Nothobranchius furzeri: one gene and its partners. The protein of the gene in region 1 purifies or fractionates together with the protein of each later gene. This does not show direct contact. Links are inferred from orthologs where the notes say so. Each region holds a gene or a part of one and is shown on either strand. Other genes may lie near its edges.

Region 1 (5,850 bases):
AGAGCTGGTCTAGTGTTCCACAGACCAGGAGAATATCACATTTTCCTCCTAAATCTGATTGATTATCCAGGGGACCTTTGTCTCTGGATCCTTTGAAGAGACTTTGCCTGCTAAGCTCAGGAGTGTTTTCCCCCTGTGGTTGGAGCACACCATCCAGTACCTCTTTATAAATAGGGGGATCATCACCCCAGTCTGTCAATCCAGTGGAACTGCCCCCAGTATCCACAATATTTACTGTGCCGCATCAACCAACACAGTCCCACAACATCCAGCGCCTTGAGGAACTCCAGGCGAATCTCACCCACCACTGGAGCCCTACCACTAAGGAGTCTCTTAACCACTTTGGTTGCCTCAGCACTAGAGACTTGATAGCCCAAACCCCCAGAATTCACTTCCTAAATGGAAGATGTGCCAGTGGAATTGAGGAGGTATTTAAAGTACTCTTTCCACTGACTCACAACATCCCAAGTGGAGGTCAGCAGTACACCATCCCCACCATAAACAGTGTTGGTGGTGCAGCTGTGTCACCCTCCTGAGACATCAAATGGTGGACCAGAATCTTCTCAAAGTATGAAACTCCTCCATGGCCTCATCAAACTCCTTCCAGCAGGTATTTTCTTCCTCCACCACCTGAACCACACTTCACTTGGTATCTGGTGCCTCAGACCAAAAGACTCAACAGGCACATACTACTCTGTGGCCGTAGCTCTAGTCAGCTGTTTCAACTTTTATTTTAGTAAAATAAAGCAAATGACTAAAGAAGTTTGAAAATGACATGTTTTAGAAAGTAAAACGTCATCTGCTAGGATGATCAAGTCTTACAGTGAGAGGAGGCTTACCATACAATTTTTTTCTAAGCACACAACACTGTTACCAATATTCTCACTTCAGCCTAATGTAACAGTGTTGAAATAGTGTAGCTGTGCAGTAGTTTACATATAGAAATATCAGATTATTCATAAAACATACCAGTAGAAAGCCTGGAAATTGAAGGATTCCAAATGTTGTTCAACATGTGAGATAAAACATTAATTATTTTGTAGCGTGGCATCATTGTCTTGTCTGTAATTGGCCTTTTTTTATTAGGTTATATGTTTTTATGGTTGTTTTATATTGTCTTATTTGTACTTGTTGCCTGCTGTATTGTCCAGCACCTTGGGTGTTTGATGAGATTGTGGAAGGGACATTACAATCTTCTGTGCATTCATTCTGGGTCTTTTTAACTTGTATTTTTTTTTTGGTTCTCTTTTAAACACAGGAAAGAAAAGTTTTCTTCTCTGTGTTTAAAAAAGAACCAATAAATAAATAAATAAATAAATACAAGAGACTTTACAAATAAAGTGAAATGAAATGAAAATTCAAATTTTAAAGATTGTTTGTTAATCAGTACACAAGTATAGAGCAGGCATGTATGTGGCCCTCATTTGTCGCCCTTGGAGCAATTTATGTCACTGTCGTCCCCCCCCCCCCCCCCCCCAACATTGTATGTTCAAACTTAATAGTCCATTTTGACAAATTTTAGGGAGTACAAATGCAAGAATAAATATTTTTAGCATTTAAAAAATGTATATGTTGTGGCCTACAAGGACAGTTAACTTGCTGATTTTGGCTCTTATCTAGGAAAGTTTGGACATCCCTGGTATAAAATATATCAAGGCGTCAACTTTAAAGCCGCCTTTCACATGAAAAGAAACAAATATTATGGGATTAAAGCTCGTGTGTGTGTGTGTGTGTGTGTGTGTGTGTGTGTGTGTGTGTGTGTGTGTGTGTGTGTGTGTGTGTGTGTGTGTGTGTGTGTAACATAAAGTATAAAAAATACGGACGTTTGTAAAATATAGAATATTCTAAAATCAGAAAATTTGTGTCCATCACAGACATTTTATTTTACTGGTGCTATGTTTCGTAAGAGCTTAATTTCCTTTATTCATTCAGACAGAAACATATCAGGGATGTGCACAGCTGTTACCAATAACCAAATCAGTGTGTATTACTTATATATAATGGTGATGTGTTGTAAGTGAAATGTTTTATCATGTTTCTAAACAGTCCCCTTCAGTCTTTTCTTGTAGCACACTTGGATGACTTGGGGAAAAAAACATATCCCAGAATGCTCTGCGAGCCCTTCACCCCTCTTAGTTTTTGCATCCGGGTCTGTACTTCCTTTTCCTCCGTGCCTAGATGCGATGAGGACCTAGGTTTTTACGAACCTGAGAAATATCCGAATCCATCCTTGTAAAAGGCACCACCGAACCTCGTCAAAATGACCGAGCAGATGACAGTGAGGGGGACCCTGAAGGGCCACAGTGGATGGGTCACCCAGATCGCCACTACCCCTCAGTATCCCGACATGATTCTGTCGGCGTCCCGAGGTGAGGCTTCCCCCGCCGGCAGCCGCCAACATGGCTACAGCTAGCTTTGTAAGCTAGCAGTGACTCTTTGGTAATGTTACAAAAATACGATTTTTGCGGAAGTGGCAGAAGACCGCTGAAATGTGATTACAACAGCCTAAAGGCTCATTAATCGCTTATAGTGAACATTTGCGACTTCAGAAGTGGAGGAAACCTGGTGTAGTTAAACTTGTGCTTTCTAGCGTCATTAGCTGGATCTACTGTGTTTCACTCCTGGGTTTACACCAACATAGCACCGACACTGATTCATCCAGTTAAACATCAGACTACTTGACATGAGGTTATAAGGCCTTGAACCAAGCGCTGCAATGTGATATTAACTTGATATTAACTTAAGTGCTAGCTTCGCATGCTAATGCTACCTACCTGCTCTTTGCTTTAGGCAATACTCCTGAGTCCTGAACCTTATGTGTTAAACTTTCAGACAAGTCCATCATCATGTGGAAGCTGACTCGTGACGAGACCAACTATGGGATCCCTCAGCGCTCTCTGAGGGGCCACTCTCACTTTGTAAGTGATGTTGTCATCTCCTCGGATGGACAGTTTGCTCTCTCAGGCGCCTGGGACGGCTCCCTCCGACTGTGGGACCTCACCACGTAAGTACAGCTAGGAAGAAAGCTTCTACATCAGATCCGCTGTCCTGTAAATATATCTCTTTACCCGTTTACCTGCTCCCAACATATTTAAATGTGTGAGAGCATCTAGAGAAGTCAACTTAGGAAGGTTGTGATGAAATCAGTTAATCTGGGTCCTTTAGAGCAGGAAACGTGTGGAACTTGCAGGATGGTACCCCTCAAGGAAAAAAGTTGCTGACCCTTGATCTGCATCATCTAAGCATCTATGTGGAACACAGTTTAAACTAGTTAATGCTTTTCTTTTTAGAAATAAGTAAGTTGGTAAAGACTTGCATGTTTGTATTAGCTGGAAGTATGTCCTTTCTAAATTTAAGTTGTAACAAACATCCTGGATAGTTTTAAAGATATGATTTGTCACCTTTGTTCTATAAATGAAAATGTGTTTGAACCGATGTTAACACACAGTCCGCGCTAATGCGTATTTGTTACTAGAGCTACAAACATTTCAGCACTTATGACCTCTAAATACCAAGTTGCCAGGGAACATAACTTAAGCCATAAAACAGTTGGGAAATGACATCTAGTTAAGCTACACCATGTGTAAACCCAATCTTGGTGAACAAACTTCATTTGCGTGTACATGACCGTGCAACAGCTTTTTATACTAGTGTTTTGTACCACAGATAGAACTTCAGTAATCTCGCACTAAATAATAAACAGCAGACATTTAAAAATGCAGTTATATACAATTACAATGTTTGTCAGAGATCCTATAAAATAAATTCTCCCAGTTTCTTGTACCCGACACTGTTGTTCCACAGTGTTATTGTCCTTACTACACCTTCATCACTTTATACACTCCTTAGTTGTGACTTAAGAGAACAGTAGATCTAAATAAATGGGTTTGGGGTTTATACAGGAATAAAACTACAGTCCATGTTTGAACAGTTTTAATCATCTAAGTGAGGAGCTGGAATTTGATTCTGGCTAAAGTGCTGGAACCCGATATAAACTGAACCTAAAAAAAATTGTCATTGATCGGCATTAAGGTTTGTGTACTAAAGTGATTTGTTTGAATACAAGTGGGGAAAAAAACTGTTTTAACTCCTTAAATGACTGTAGCTTGTAGAGGCCATAATTAGTAGAGGAGGGCAGGCATTTTAAACTGTAAACTTAATATAGCTTTATTCTAATCGGACGTCTTAATCTTGTGTTTTTCTAGTGGCACCACCACCCGTCAGTTTGTTGGACACACAAAGGATGTTTTGAGTGTGGCTTTCTCTGCTGATAACCGTCAGATTGTATCTGGCTCCCGAGACAAGACCATCAAGCTGTGGAACACTCTTGGAGTCTGCAAGTACACCATTCAGGTGAGCTGTCACTTAATGCTGCTGCTGCTGCTGCTTAGAGCTGTTCCTTCTTTGGTTTTCATTTAGTTTTTGTTCAAGCTTTTTTTTTTTTTTTTAACTAGTTTTACATTTTCTGAGGTAGAGCACACAGCTCAGCCATCAGCTGGAGCATTGTGGACTAAATCTGTATGATGGTTTTAAGTGTGTAGTGTGTCAGGATCATGGAATAAGTCTCGGTGGTTACATGAGCTAAAGTGAGCCATTGTTGGGATGAGCTGAACTTTAAACTGTTCAAACTTGATTTTGCAGGATGAAGGCCATTCTGAGTGGGTGTCTTGTGTTCGCTTCTCCCCCAACAGCAGCAACCCCATCATTGTCTCCTGTGGCTGGGACAAGGTGGTCAAGGTATGGTTTACTAGTAATTTGCTAATGTTTGGTCCTGGTTAGATGGTTTAACTTAGTTTGCATTTATTAGCTGACTACTTGCGTAAGACAACCTTTTTTATGATTAGCTTCCATGTTGGATGTTGATGTTTGTTCTGTCTCGGGTGTGATGCCTCTCAGGTGTGGAACCTGGCCAACTGCAAGCTGAAGACCAACCACATTGGTCACACTGGCTATTTGAACACAGTGACCGTCTCCCCTGATGGCTCTCTGTGTGCATCTGGTGGAAAGGTAACATCTGCTTCCAGTAATTGTAGATTTCTGTAAAATGTTCTTTTTTAGAATCTTTAAGTGAACGGACAAGTTTTTGCAATGATGGAAAATTAATCATACATCTGTTTTAAAATGATGACAATAGAGGCTGTTTCTGAGCACGACTTGAACTTGTCACGATCCCCGTTTGTGGGGTTGGGTATCGTGTTAAGAGCTGCGATGTAATCACTGAAGAATGTTTTCTGTTGGTGTTCAGGATGGCCAGGCCATGCTGTGGGACCTGAATGAAGGCAAGCACCTGTACACCCTGGATAGTGGTGACACCATCAACGCCCTTTGTTTCAGCCCCAACCGTTATTGGCTCTGTGCCGCCACCGGCCCCAGCATCAAGATCTGGGTAAGATGTTAAGCTAAACATGTTATCAAGGAGGACTGTGATGAAATTTAAAATGTTAGCTGTATTGTTTGATGATATCAGAGGCTGTTTCTGAGCTCCGACCCAATAGAGAATGTCAATAAATTCAGGTATGTTACTTATTACCTTGGTTAGAGATACCATCACTCTGGTTCTCTTTTACCTCATTCAGGATCTGGAGGGCAAGATCATTGTGGATGAACTGAAACAGGAAGTGATCAGCACGAACAGCAAGGCAGAACCGCCACAGTGTACTTCCCTGGCGTGGTCTGCTGATGGACAGGTACGACACTCTCTGGAGGACCTTTAAATGCAGATTTCTGTTGTGACCCCTGTGATTATACCCATTCACTTTTAACTCTGATTAATTCTGCTGACAGTCCTGCAAATATGAGGGGCACCAGAGAACCACTCACATGATTGAGCCTTTTTGAAAAGCGTGCTAT
Region 2 (5,255 bases), on another chromosome or scaffold:
GTTTCCTGCATGTTCTGCAAACGGGATAGCAGTCTTCTATTAACTGTCCCTCAGCATTTTTCAGAAATCCAAAATATGCCCATACTTCCGATTTAGTCTTCTTTGAGGGCTGATGGATGTCCTGGGCGCTGCCGTCTCCTCCTTCGGCCGTTATTTCAGCTTCAAAGTTTTGGTGCCGTTGCAAACTAAAAAGTGCGTGTGCACGCCGCGGGAACTTCAGCTGAAGCGACGGTGGCTGGTAAGGGTCACCGCGCCGAAACCGCGGCCACGGTAAACCCACCGAGATAATTTAGTTTTTTAAAAACTGGACGGTTATTTTTATTGTCAACTTTTTTACCGGGGTTTACCTTATACCGGTTACCGTGACAACCCTAAATGACATCATTAAATCAGAATAGAATATGTAATTTCGTCGAGCTTAATGTCAGATTTGTGTCACTGACATTTTGTTGTGATGAACTCTTTTCGTTTACTGATTTTTACACTATGACTTTATAATTCCAAGGTATCCAGGCCTCCTGAGAGAGGTGCCCCCACAGGATCAGCCAGAAGCCAGAGAAGCAACAGAGATGCAACCTCCACCCCAATCTCGACTCCTTCAGTATCGACAGTCCCAGAGCCGCTCTTCAGACGACTCTTCTTCCTCTTTAGTTGCCATGTCCAATCACGCTGGCCCCTTTCCTTCAGGACTTTACTCCCACAATACAAGTCGCAACCTCCTTAATGAAAACCTTCTCAACAATCAGGCTCTGCAGCAGCAACAGCACATGGGGAACTCCCTGTACAATACAGGTAGCTACCCAAATCAGCCACCAGCTCACTCTGGCAGCCCACCTTCCTCCCAGGTCAAATATCTTCTGCAAGAAGCTCAGTGGCCCCATGGTGGAGGTGCATCTGCATCACAGCAGAACCACTTGCTGGGGAACCAGGGCCATGGTCTTCTCTATGGACTGCCCATCATGGCTCACCCCAGCAGACAGGAGCAGGTTCTGATGCAGCATCACCAGCAGCAGCACCAACAGCAGCAGCTGCATCAACAACAGCAGCAGCTACAGCAGCTACAACAACCCCTGCCACAGCAGCCACACCAACAAAATCCAGGTCCTAACCCAGAGCCCTACCACCCACTGTCCCCCAGATCATCAGCAACTACAACCCTTCACAGTGTAGATGAGGTAAGAACTGCTGACCTAGTTAGCACAGTGATCTGTTTTTTTTAAATTCGGTCAAATAAAAAAAGTTCTTCAACCCTGAAGCTAGAAACTCTGTACAGTCGTTTATCCGAATAACTCAATAAGCAAGCTCTGGACATTTCTGGCATTCATTCAATGCCTGGATACTCCCTAGCCTAGAAATTAAGACAGATCATAGCAGAATGGTATTGCTTTATAGATCAGTCTAGCCAGGCTCTATTGGAACCTCAGTTTGCCCAAACTATCTTGTGTCTTACCAGTCACAGTGCTTTATTGGTTTGGTTGCGGGATGTTACTGCAACTGAGTGGAAAAGCTAAGATGGCGACGGCTTGTTTGAAATGACTTTGGCCTCGAATTTGGATTTTTTAGGCTTGGGCTTTTCTTTAAGTCAAGAGCTGATAGAGGTACTTCAGTCCTTTATTTAGAAAAAGGATGTATCTGAATCTTCTTCCATTTTGACTGACATCTGTAGTGGTGAGTATGTCATGTTGTTCAGTTTTAAAGCCAACTGTAGATCCCATCCCAAGACTGAGTCTATGGGTCGTGGCCAGACTATATGCTCACATATATAGGATGGCTGGCCAGGCTAGATAGTCCCAATAACCTGGAATATTACTTGTTTGTGCCAACATTGTTCTTTGTTGTTTTCTTCTTGTCTAACAATGACGTTAGCAGTAGCTCGGGCAAGCATTAGGAGTTTCTTGAGCTAGCGTTAGCACTAGCCTCGGCTAGCATGTTTAGTTATTGTAGACATTAGCATAGATTGGGATGCAACTTGACGTGTTATACCAGCTTTTTTTTTTTCCAGAATGAACCATGATATGAGCATAGGAAAGCAGGTTGGAGACAGACTTTTTGGCATATCGGACACTTCACGTTGCCTAAATTCGACAACAACAAAGTAATGGCCACAGAGTTTGTTTTGAGGAAATCTGGTTTAACACATCAGCTTAGACACACAGCCTTAAATTTTCATTTGCCATCCCACTTCAATATTGGCAAAATATTTAGCTTTGGTTACAGCAATGCTTACTGAAGAACAATGGTAGTCTGATGTACAGCTAATGCTAGTCCAAGCTAGCTAAACTGCTAAAAACCCTTGCCGAAAAAGAGGAAAGTAACAAATAATGTTGGAACACCATTCATGTTCCAAGATACACGGTGAATATTCAGACAGAATGAATGCCAGACAGATCAACATTCCCACACGCCCATTACATTTTCATAACCTGGCTGAGTGGGTGGGGTAAACCAGACTTTCCATTGCAGGGCTTTATATCGATGTCGTTTTGGGCAGTTTTTCAGGGCTCCTGGGCCATTTTGAGCCCCAATAATTTTTCATATGCAATAACTAGGCTCAAAGAACAATTTCCAGTTGTTAGACCTCTTTTGAGTTTCTTGTGTCATTTCTTTTGAATCTAATTATTTAACTTAATGTGTCATCATTTCTCCACTTGTGTTTGTGCAGTATGAACCACGAGGTCCGGGCCGGCCTCTTTATCAGCGCCGCATTTCCTCCAGCTACCCAGATGAACCATCTCTAGCCAACACCCACAATGCCCAGCCCTGTCCGTCAGACCCCCAGGATCATTCTCATATGCAGCATCATCAGCACCCACACCCCTCCTATAACTATCTCCCACAAGACCACCTCTGGCCCAGTAATGGTGCAGGTCCTGGTAAATTTCAGAACATTCCATGTAACGGATCCAATGCTCTGGCTCAACATCGCGACCTTATGGGTAAGTTTCTGTTAATTGGCTTTATGTTATTGTAAAGCTATTTTAAATCATGTTTAATTTGTCCAACTTACTAATGGTTGAACCACTTTTCAGCGTCCAAGGTTCTCCGTCAAACTGATGAGCAGGTGAAGGCTGAGCCCACAGCCACACAGCCCACCCATCCACACAGCATCACCTCCCATCAGCACCAGTTTCCTCCTCTAATGTCAAATAAAAAGCAGCAGCAGCCACCACCGCCACCACAGGCTCCAACAGAGGCCACCCAGGGGGCTCCAAATTTAAACAAAGCCCCCACCATGTCATACGCAAGCGCCCTCCGCGCTCCCCCGAAACCCCGAGCTGTTCGCCCTGAACAGGTCAAAAAGAATAGTAACCCTCTTTCCCTCCTTCAAGAGCTGAGTATTGGAAGTTCAAATGGTAGCAACGGATACTACTCCTACTTTAAATGAGTGTCACTTCTCCCACTTAATAGGTGATCAAATAAAATAATAAAATCCAAGCAAAAAATGGTAAAAAAATAATAAACAAAAAAAAAATGTGTGTAAAGTGCATTTATAATTTGGTTTCTACCAGTAGGTTTGTTTTCCTGCATTTTTTAATCACTTTGACTTCTTGTTGGTAATGTTTTTTCTTTGACATATCTGTGAAGAAAGTCAGTATATATAACAAATGCATTACTGGTATATATATATACATACTCACTATGTATATATGAATATATATACTTATATTATCTACACTTGTACATGTAAGTAATGCTTAAAAATAAATAAATAAAATAATATAAAAACTAAAAAAAAAGGTAACACTTGGCTGACCACTTAGCTTCCTGCTTTTTTAAAAGAATTTTTTTCTTAAATATAAAAAAATGCTTGTTTTTGCTTTTTTTCCAAGTTTCAAGTAGACATCAACAGCTCATAATACTGTGTTTTTGTAACAACGGCTAAGTGGTCAACCGACCAACAGCATAGAACAGTGTATAGAAGTAGATAAATTTTCCTCTAATCTGTACAGATAAAGAAAATAAAAAGACTGAATTGTACACCACATAAATCATGTTAGTATTTGCATTATGAATAGTTTTTTTTCCTGCCCCCTTTCAACTTTTAGTCATCCTTACTTTAAAATAATCTTTGGTAATTTAGTGGTAAATGTGATTATAGAAAAAACAACTCCAGTTTTCATTTAATTTTCACCAAGACGTCATCGGGAAGACTAGATTCAGTGTGAAACTGTCGCTGAATCGGTCGTGTGTTTCATTCTCTGTCGGCTTTAAAGCTCTAAGAACGCGAGACGATGCTTTCTGTGATCAGATGAACCACGCTGCTTGTTTGAGCAGAATAGTTCCGTTATGTTTTATTTTGCTGGTGCTTGTTTGTCAGAGCATCAGATCTGATCATTTCAGTAACTGTTGGTCCGCGGATTATTTTTGAAAGTTTTTTTGGTCTGAAGGTCTGCGTAAGTGAAGAGAAAGCTTGGTCATTGTGAGTCGTGATTACCGTGGGTTATTTACCTCCAGTCAAATGTTTTTGAGCATGCTAAAACAGACGAAGAATGGAAAACTGAAGCAAAAAAATTGGTATTTGTGTGAAAAATACTTTTCTTCCCCAAAATTTACATTTTTATAATAAGAAAATGTATGTACATGTTTGGATTTCTTGTCATAGATGTATTGTTTTAATTGTAAAATCTTATTTTAAATATTCTGGTACATTTTATGCAGACATTAAAAATTTAAGTTACTCAAACACATTTTTCTCGTGAATTTTAAATCTCCCATCACCTCAAAAGTGCAAAAAAGTTCTCTTAATACTTTTAGCTACTTTAGAAGGGTGCTGTTTGAACCAATGAGTGATTCAATCTGGTACAATCCGGTATTTGAAGTGGATTGAAAAAGAGCCCTTTTTAAAATTCTTTCCCTTGCTGTACGTTTTTCACGAAATTAGAAAATTTAGGATCTTTGACAAACCCCATAAAAAGCATCTGATTAACTGAGTAACAATGTAACGTTGAACTGATATTTAATGATCAATAAGGCTTTGTTTAGACGTTTTATCTTTTGCAGTTTTTCAGTTTTAATAAGACATTTATTTAAGTGAAAAATGTTTCCGTTATCTTGAGACACTTATTAAAGGGACTATAAGGAAGTTTTGACAGCCAAAACATGTATAGAAATAATAAATGTCTTCTTCACACATTCTCCTGCAATGCCCTGGTCCTGTAGAATGAGCCCTGGCCTTTTTACTGTGATTGCCTGTTTTTCTGTAAAATCACAGAAAAAGAGAGCTGCTCGGGTCGAGCAGGCTGCTTCATGCGCGT
Region 3 (5,750 bases), on another chromosome or scaffold:
AGCCACATAGAGATGCAGCGCGGGTGTCCAGGAACCGTTGCCAGCCAGCGACGTGGCTCTCACTCTGACGGAGTAGTTTCCTGGACTGAGGTTGGACAGCCGAACGCCACGCTGAGATCGATACACTTGTCCAGACACACACTCGTGCTTCTCGGTCTAACACACACACACACACACACACACACACACACACATCATGGGTATGATTTGACGTTTTCTAGTTGAGGGTAAACATGGCTGACCCATAACCACAGATCAGGTTAATAGAGCTAACTGCACCTACTGAATAGAACGTTGTGATGTTCTAAAGAGGTTCCTGAGTTCTACACAAAGACAAAAAAACTTGAACTTATTTCAGCGTGAACCCCGAAGTTCTCCTACCTCAGCTGAAAGTTTGAACTTGATCTCGTACATGAGGATGAGCCCATTGGGGCGGGGGGGCTCGGGCCAGCGCAGGAACACCCAGTTCTCATGACCCTCCCAGACCACTGAACCAGGAATGTCATCAGCCTTTTCTGGACAACCAACAGGAGGATTCCAGTTACCAGACACATCCTCTCTTCAGCTGTTTTGAACTGTGTGATGCTGAGTACACGTTTACTCTAACCTGCAGGTTTGGTTCTGGAGAAGACAAACTCAGCCGCGCTGCAGCGCTGGACCTGTCGATTGCAGGCGTGAATATCGATGCGGTAAACGGTGAAAGGCTGCAGGCCGGAGATCTGCAGCTCCCGTTCCGTCACCGACTGCTCCACAAACTCGTATTCCTGGTCGGCTGGCTCCGAGTCCACAGTGCTGCTGTTCCCAGCACCTTGGAGAGGTGGGATGGTGCTGCTGTTGGTGGACAGCTGGACACGCCGGGAACGAGTGGAGTTAGCCACGCCAAAAAGATCTCTGCGGCGCCGGTCTGGTGGTCTGGGGGAGCGAACGACAGACATAACCACAATATGAAGATTTGAAAACATTTCCAAAGTTGCGAAGCCCAGAGGAATTTACAGAAGCAGCAGATTACCTTGGTGTAAAAATGGAGTTGTGCAGGAAGTTCTCAAAGACTTTTCTATAGGAGGCATCAGAAGCTTCAGCCTCCAGCTCTTCCACCGATTTGGGGCAGGGGCAACAGGGGCCTTTATCCGGGCCGTCGGAGTCTGGTTTAGTGGGCTTGGTGTCTTCCTCCTGGTCCCCCACCCCTGTGGCAGCAATCCTAATGGGAATCTTTAGCTCTGGTAGAGGAAGACAAGGGTGAAGCCTAGCAGGTGAGACTGAATGGCTGAATGTACGTGTGTGTGTGTGTGTGTGTGTGTGTGTGTGTGTACCTTTAGAGCAGTAGTTGTGCTGGTACAGCTCCCGGCCCTCAGCTTGCTGTTGCCATCTCACCAAGTAATAAGTTTGGTTGCCATTAGGCGCGACGGGGGGCGACCAGCGCACCACCAGCTGAGTCGATGAGTTAGAGTACGCTCGCACGTCTTGAGGCATGGAGGGTGCTGAAAGTGAAAAATAAAACTCTATGAACTGTAGGGGAGTTCTGTGCCTGAGGCCTGGACACTCACACTCTCTCACACACTCACACACACACACACACACACACACACACACACACACACACACACACACACACACACACACACACACACACACACACACACACACACACACACACACACACACACACACACACACACACACACACACACACACACACACACACACACACACAATCTGCCAATGCAGCTGTGTCTCACTGGCCATGTTTTCATGCTGCAGCTGGATTTGTTTTACGCCGTCCTTCATTTCATCTGATTAAATTACTGTTCTGTAAGTCGTTGCAGCTCAAAGCCTTTGATTTGCAGCTGTGTTTATTTTAAAGAGCATTTCTCCCTGTCCCTATGATGTGTTTGATTCTGTAACACAATCACAGGCTGAGTCCTCCTAAACCTCAGCCCTTCATCAGAAGTCACCAGTGGTTAAAAGACTCTGATTCCGGGAACAGGGACAAACTCTTCAAGGAGGCGATTCCTCAGCCGCTGTACCTGATTCCTTCTAGGTAAACAGACATGATGGAGCCAATATGTCCGCCTAAGCCACGGAACTATTTAGCTGTAAACAGATTCATTGATGTATATGTTTAACCAAATGCATGTGCATAAAAAATTCTCGACTTATCCAGCTGGAACCCTCTGTGAGAACTGTAAGGAAGCGTCATCTCACGGCTGAAGTGGCTGCAGGTTTTCTTGAAAGTTTTTAGAAAGATCCCTCCCACTCCCGTAACTGCCTCTTGTGATTTTACTGTCAATGATTTTAACAGCAGACTGAAATCCGCTCTGGACCTGCTCGCTCCACTTAAAATCAAAAGTCTATGTTCAAAACGTGCTTCACCGTGGAGAAATGAAAATCTAAAGAAACTAAAGAGAAATTGCAGGGTTGCAGAGCGGAGATGGAGAAAGAACAAAACAACTATAAATCATCAAATATATACAGAGCTACTTAAATCATATAATAACGCAGTGAGAAATTCAAGAAATGCATACCTTTCCAAACTCATTCTAGACAATAAACACAATCCCAGAATACTTTTTTCCACCGTAAACAACATTTTAAACCGTACATCCAATTCACTTCAGAAAACCCACTCAGATGCACTCTGTGAGGAGTTTGCAGCCCACTTCAGAGGGAAGGTAGACACCATCAGAAGGAATATTTTATCCTCCATAAGTAATAAGGTTTTAGATAAATCTGAATGTGTGTCTATACCAGAGGAAACACTGGACAGCTTTGTCCTGGTAGAAGCTGAGACTCTTGATAAAGTTTTCTCCTCAGTGAGACCCACCACATGTGTTCTGGACCCAATTCCAACTTCGTTCTTTAAACAATTTTATGGATCTTTTAGTGATGAGATTTTAACCATGATGAATTGCTCCCTTCAGACGGGGGTCTTTCCTGCTGCCTTTAAAAGGGCGGTGGTGAGGCCCTTGTTGAAGAAGAGCAATTTAGATCTTAATGAATTAAATAATTATCGACCGGTATCCAGCTTACCATTTTTAAGCAAAATTTTAGAAAAGTCGGTTTTAAATCAACTAAATGATTTTATAAACACTAATAATGTCCTAGAGACATTTCAGTCTGGTTTTAGGGTGAACCACAGCACTGAAGATTTTAAATGATTTTAGAGTAAATTATGATAAACAGAAGTTGACAGTGTTGGTTCTACTGGATCTAAGTGCTGCCTTCGATACAGTAGACCACACTGTTCTTTTAACTCGTTTACAACAGATCGGCCTCTCTGGTGCTGTACATAGATGGTTCACATCCTACCTCACAGACAGGACTTTCATGGTGAGTTTGGATACCTGTTCCTCTCGGGTCCATGGGATTACATGTGGTGTGCCCCAGGGTTCAATTTTAGGCACAGTGCTTTTTAATCTTTATATGCTCCCTCTTGGCGGAGTCATCAGGAGACACGGGGTTAACTTTCACAATTATGCTGATGATACACAGTTGTACATCTCCGTGTCTCCGGATGGCTCTCGGCCAATGGATGCACTTTTTAACTGTATTTTAGACATCAAATCCTGGATGGCAGAGAACTTTCTCCAGCTCAACCAGGACAAAACTGAAGCTTTAGTCATTGGTCCTGAGGCCCAGAGAGAGAAGCTTTTACCAAAATTACAATCTCTGCCTTTTAATCCTTCTGAACAAGCGAAGAACCTGGGTGTGATTTTTGACTCTGAGCTGACTTTTATCCCACACATTAAAAATATCATAAAAATAGTTTTTTTATCATCTAAAGAACATCGCCAGAGTCCGCCCCATTCTCTCTCGGGCCAATACGGAGATGCTGATGCATGCTTTTATCACCAGTAGGATAGACTACTGTAATGCCCTGCTTTCTGGTCTTCCCAAAAAGAGCATCTCAGGCTTACAACCTCTACAAAATTCGGCAGCACGTGTCCTGATGAAGACCAGGAGGCGGGAGCACATGACACCAGTTTTAGAATCATTGCATTGGCTCCCTGTATGTTTCAGGATCCATTTTAAGGTTCTTCTAATGGTTTTTAAGTGTCTTAATGGTCTTGGGCCTTCTTATCTCTCAGAACTGCTTTTACAATATGAACCCTCACGGCCTCTGCGCTCCTCTGGCAGGCGTCTCCTGGTCATCCCTAAAGTCAGGACACACACTCACGGCGAGTCGTCCTTCCAGTATTATGGCCCTCGCCTCTGGAACGAGCTGCCGGAGGACCTCAGGGCCGCAGAGAACATTCATGTTTTTAAGTCCAGGCTCAAGATCCACCTATTTAGGTTAGCTTTTATCTAATTATTTATTATAGTTTTATTTCTCGTTTTACATGATTACATTTTATTACTTGCTTTGCATGTTTTATATGATTATATTTTAGCACAGTTTTATTATTTAAATTATTATTTTACTGTCTATATCATTTTATTTATTACTTATTTTCTAATTTTTGTCATTTATATTAGCTCTTTTATTTTATTTTTACTCATTTTACTCCAGTGTTTCCTCTGTGGGGGCCCTCTGCCCCGGGAGCGGTGGTCGACTGTAGCTTCCTGGGCGCTCTATAGGTGGGGGTCTATGCTCCCCCTCCACTGAGCGCCCTGACTTAGTGTGGAAGACCTGATGCTACCGGGGCAGACGGCTCCTCTGATGGCGTTTCCTTGCCTTACCTTACTTGGCTCATCTGGACTCAGCCAAATATAATTTTTACTTGTGTGTGTGTGTGTGTCTGCGTGTGTGTGTGTGTGCGCTTGCATATGTCTGTTAATGTTTTTAACCTGTTATGGGAATCTGGGGTCATTTTGTAAAGCACTTTGTTTGAAAAGCGCTTTATAAATAAATCTGACTGATTGATTGATTGATTGAGTGGAACACTCCGGTCCTCCACACAGCCTCACAAGCACAGAAGTAGAAGGCTGGATTAAAATGGGATTGAGCCGGATTATTAACGCCGACTAGGAGAACTTTTACCTATTAGTGTATTCTTGTGGGATAAAAAGTTCATTTGATACCACCCACACAGTCACAGGTAGTTCCACAGTTTTAACTGAAGCTGTGATATTCTAGCAGCCATTCATGTCAGGGCTTTCAAAATAAAAGCAGAGAAATGTTGAACGCAGTACGCTACAGAAGACAACAGATGTCAGTAACGACACAGAAGAAGAGACGGTTTTTAACACAACTGTGATAAAGGTGAGTAAACTCACAGGTCAGTCTGACAGCAGAATAACTGCAGAACTAAAATGATGCACTTGTTCTGATTAGTTTGGCCAGAAATCAGAAACCTCACAAATGTTCTGTTAACTGAACATGATGAATAATTCCCCGTGAGAACTAAATTATGTTTTTGGCTCTAAGCATTAGTGATGTAAAGTTGCATTAATCCCGTTATTTATGTCGAAGGAGACACTTTGGCTAATTAGTAGGAATATCATTCAGCAAAAAAGCATTTTCCTGTGGAAGCTTTAGCTTATTTCTTACATAAAAACCTGCTCGTTTCTGTTATCAGAACACACCACACACACCTGAGGGGCTGGTGCGGATGTAAGCCACCTTGGTCTTGGCCCCGAGCATGTGTTTGTCCTCCACCAACAGGGTGATGGCTTTAACAAAGATGGCGTACTGCGTCCACGGTTTGAGTCCGGACAGCAGAACCCCGGGGTCCGACTCCTTGTCGGGCCTCAGCTCCACATCCACCATGTTCCAACTGTTGGAGCCACAACCATCCTGCCCCTCGAACTCG

Evidence for each region. Proteins that work in one complex are often made in the same cells at the same time.
Region 2: the proteins of rack1 (region 1) and helz purify together in Homo sapiens (affinity purification with mass spectrometry; 3 studies listed by BioGRID and IntAct, counting the BioPlex papers as one, with this or other methods). This does not show direct contact. The link is inferred for Nothobranchius furzeri from reciprocal best matches to the Homo sapiens genes RACK1 and HELZ.
Region 3: the proteins of rack1 (region 1) and insulin-like growth factor 1 receptor purify together in Homo sapiens (affinity purification with western blotting; 4 studies listed by BioGRID, with this or other methods). This does not show direct contact. The link is inferred for Nothobranchius furzeri from reciprocal best matches to the Homo sapiens genes RACK1 and IGF1R.

What each region holds. Positions count from the first base shown.
Region 1 is NC_091741.1:97,231,596-97,237,445, reverse strand, and holds the start of rack1 (small ribosomal subunit protein RACK1), read left to right. Parts: upstream 1-2,148; 5' UTR 2,149-2,260; coding exon 2,261-2,369; intron 2,370-2,832; coding exon 2,833-3,004; intron 3,005-4,205; coding exon 4,206-4,353; intron 4,354-4,641; coding exon 4,642-4,737; intron 4,738-4,896; coding exon 4,897-5,007; intron 5,008-5,245; coding exon 5,246-5,386; intron 5,387-5,576; coding exon 5,577-5,687; intron 5,688-5,850. UniProt on the Homo sapiens protein: Scaffolding protein involved in the recruitment, assembly and/or regulation of a variety of signaling molecules. Interacts with a wide variety of proteins and plays a role in many cellular processes.
Region 2 is NC_091744.1:2,412,837-2,418,091, reverse strand, and holds the end of helz (probable helicase with zinc finger domain), read left to right. Parts: intron 1-505; coding exon 506-1,175; intron 1,176-2,662; coding exon 2,663-2,936; intron 2,937-3,029; coding exon 3,030-3,385; 3' UTR 3,386-3,454; downstream 3,455-5,255. UniProt on the Homo sapiens protein: May act as a helicase that plays a role in RNA metabolism in multiple tissues and organs within the developing embryo.
Region 3 is NC_091749.1:29,660,241-29,665,990, reverse strand, and holds part of insulin-like growth factor 1 receptor, read right to left. Parts: coding exon 5,533-5,750; intron 1,479-5,532; coding exon 1,311-1,478; intron 1,218-1,310; coding exon 1,010-1,217; intron 913-1,009; coding exon 608-912; intron 516-607; coding exon 382-515; intron 157-381; coding exon 1-156. UniProt on the Homo sapiens protein: Receptor tyrosine kinase which mediates actions of insulin-like growth factor 1 (IGF1). Binds IGF1 with high affinity and IGF2 and insulin (INS) with a lower affinity. The activated IGF1R is involved in cell growth and survival control.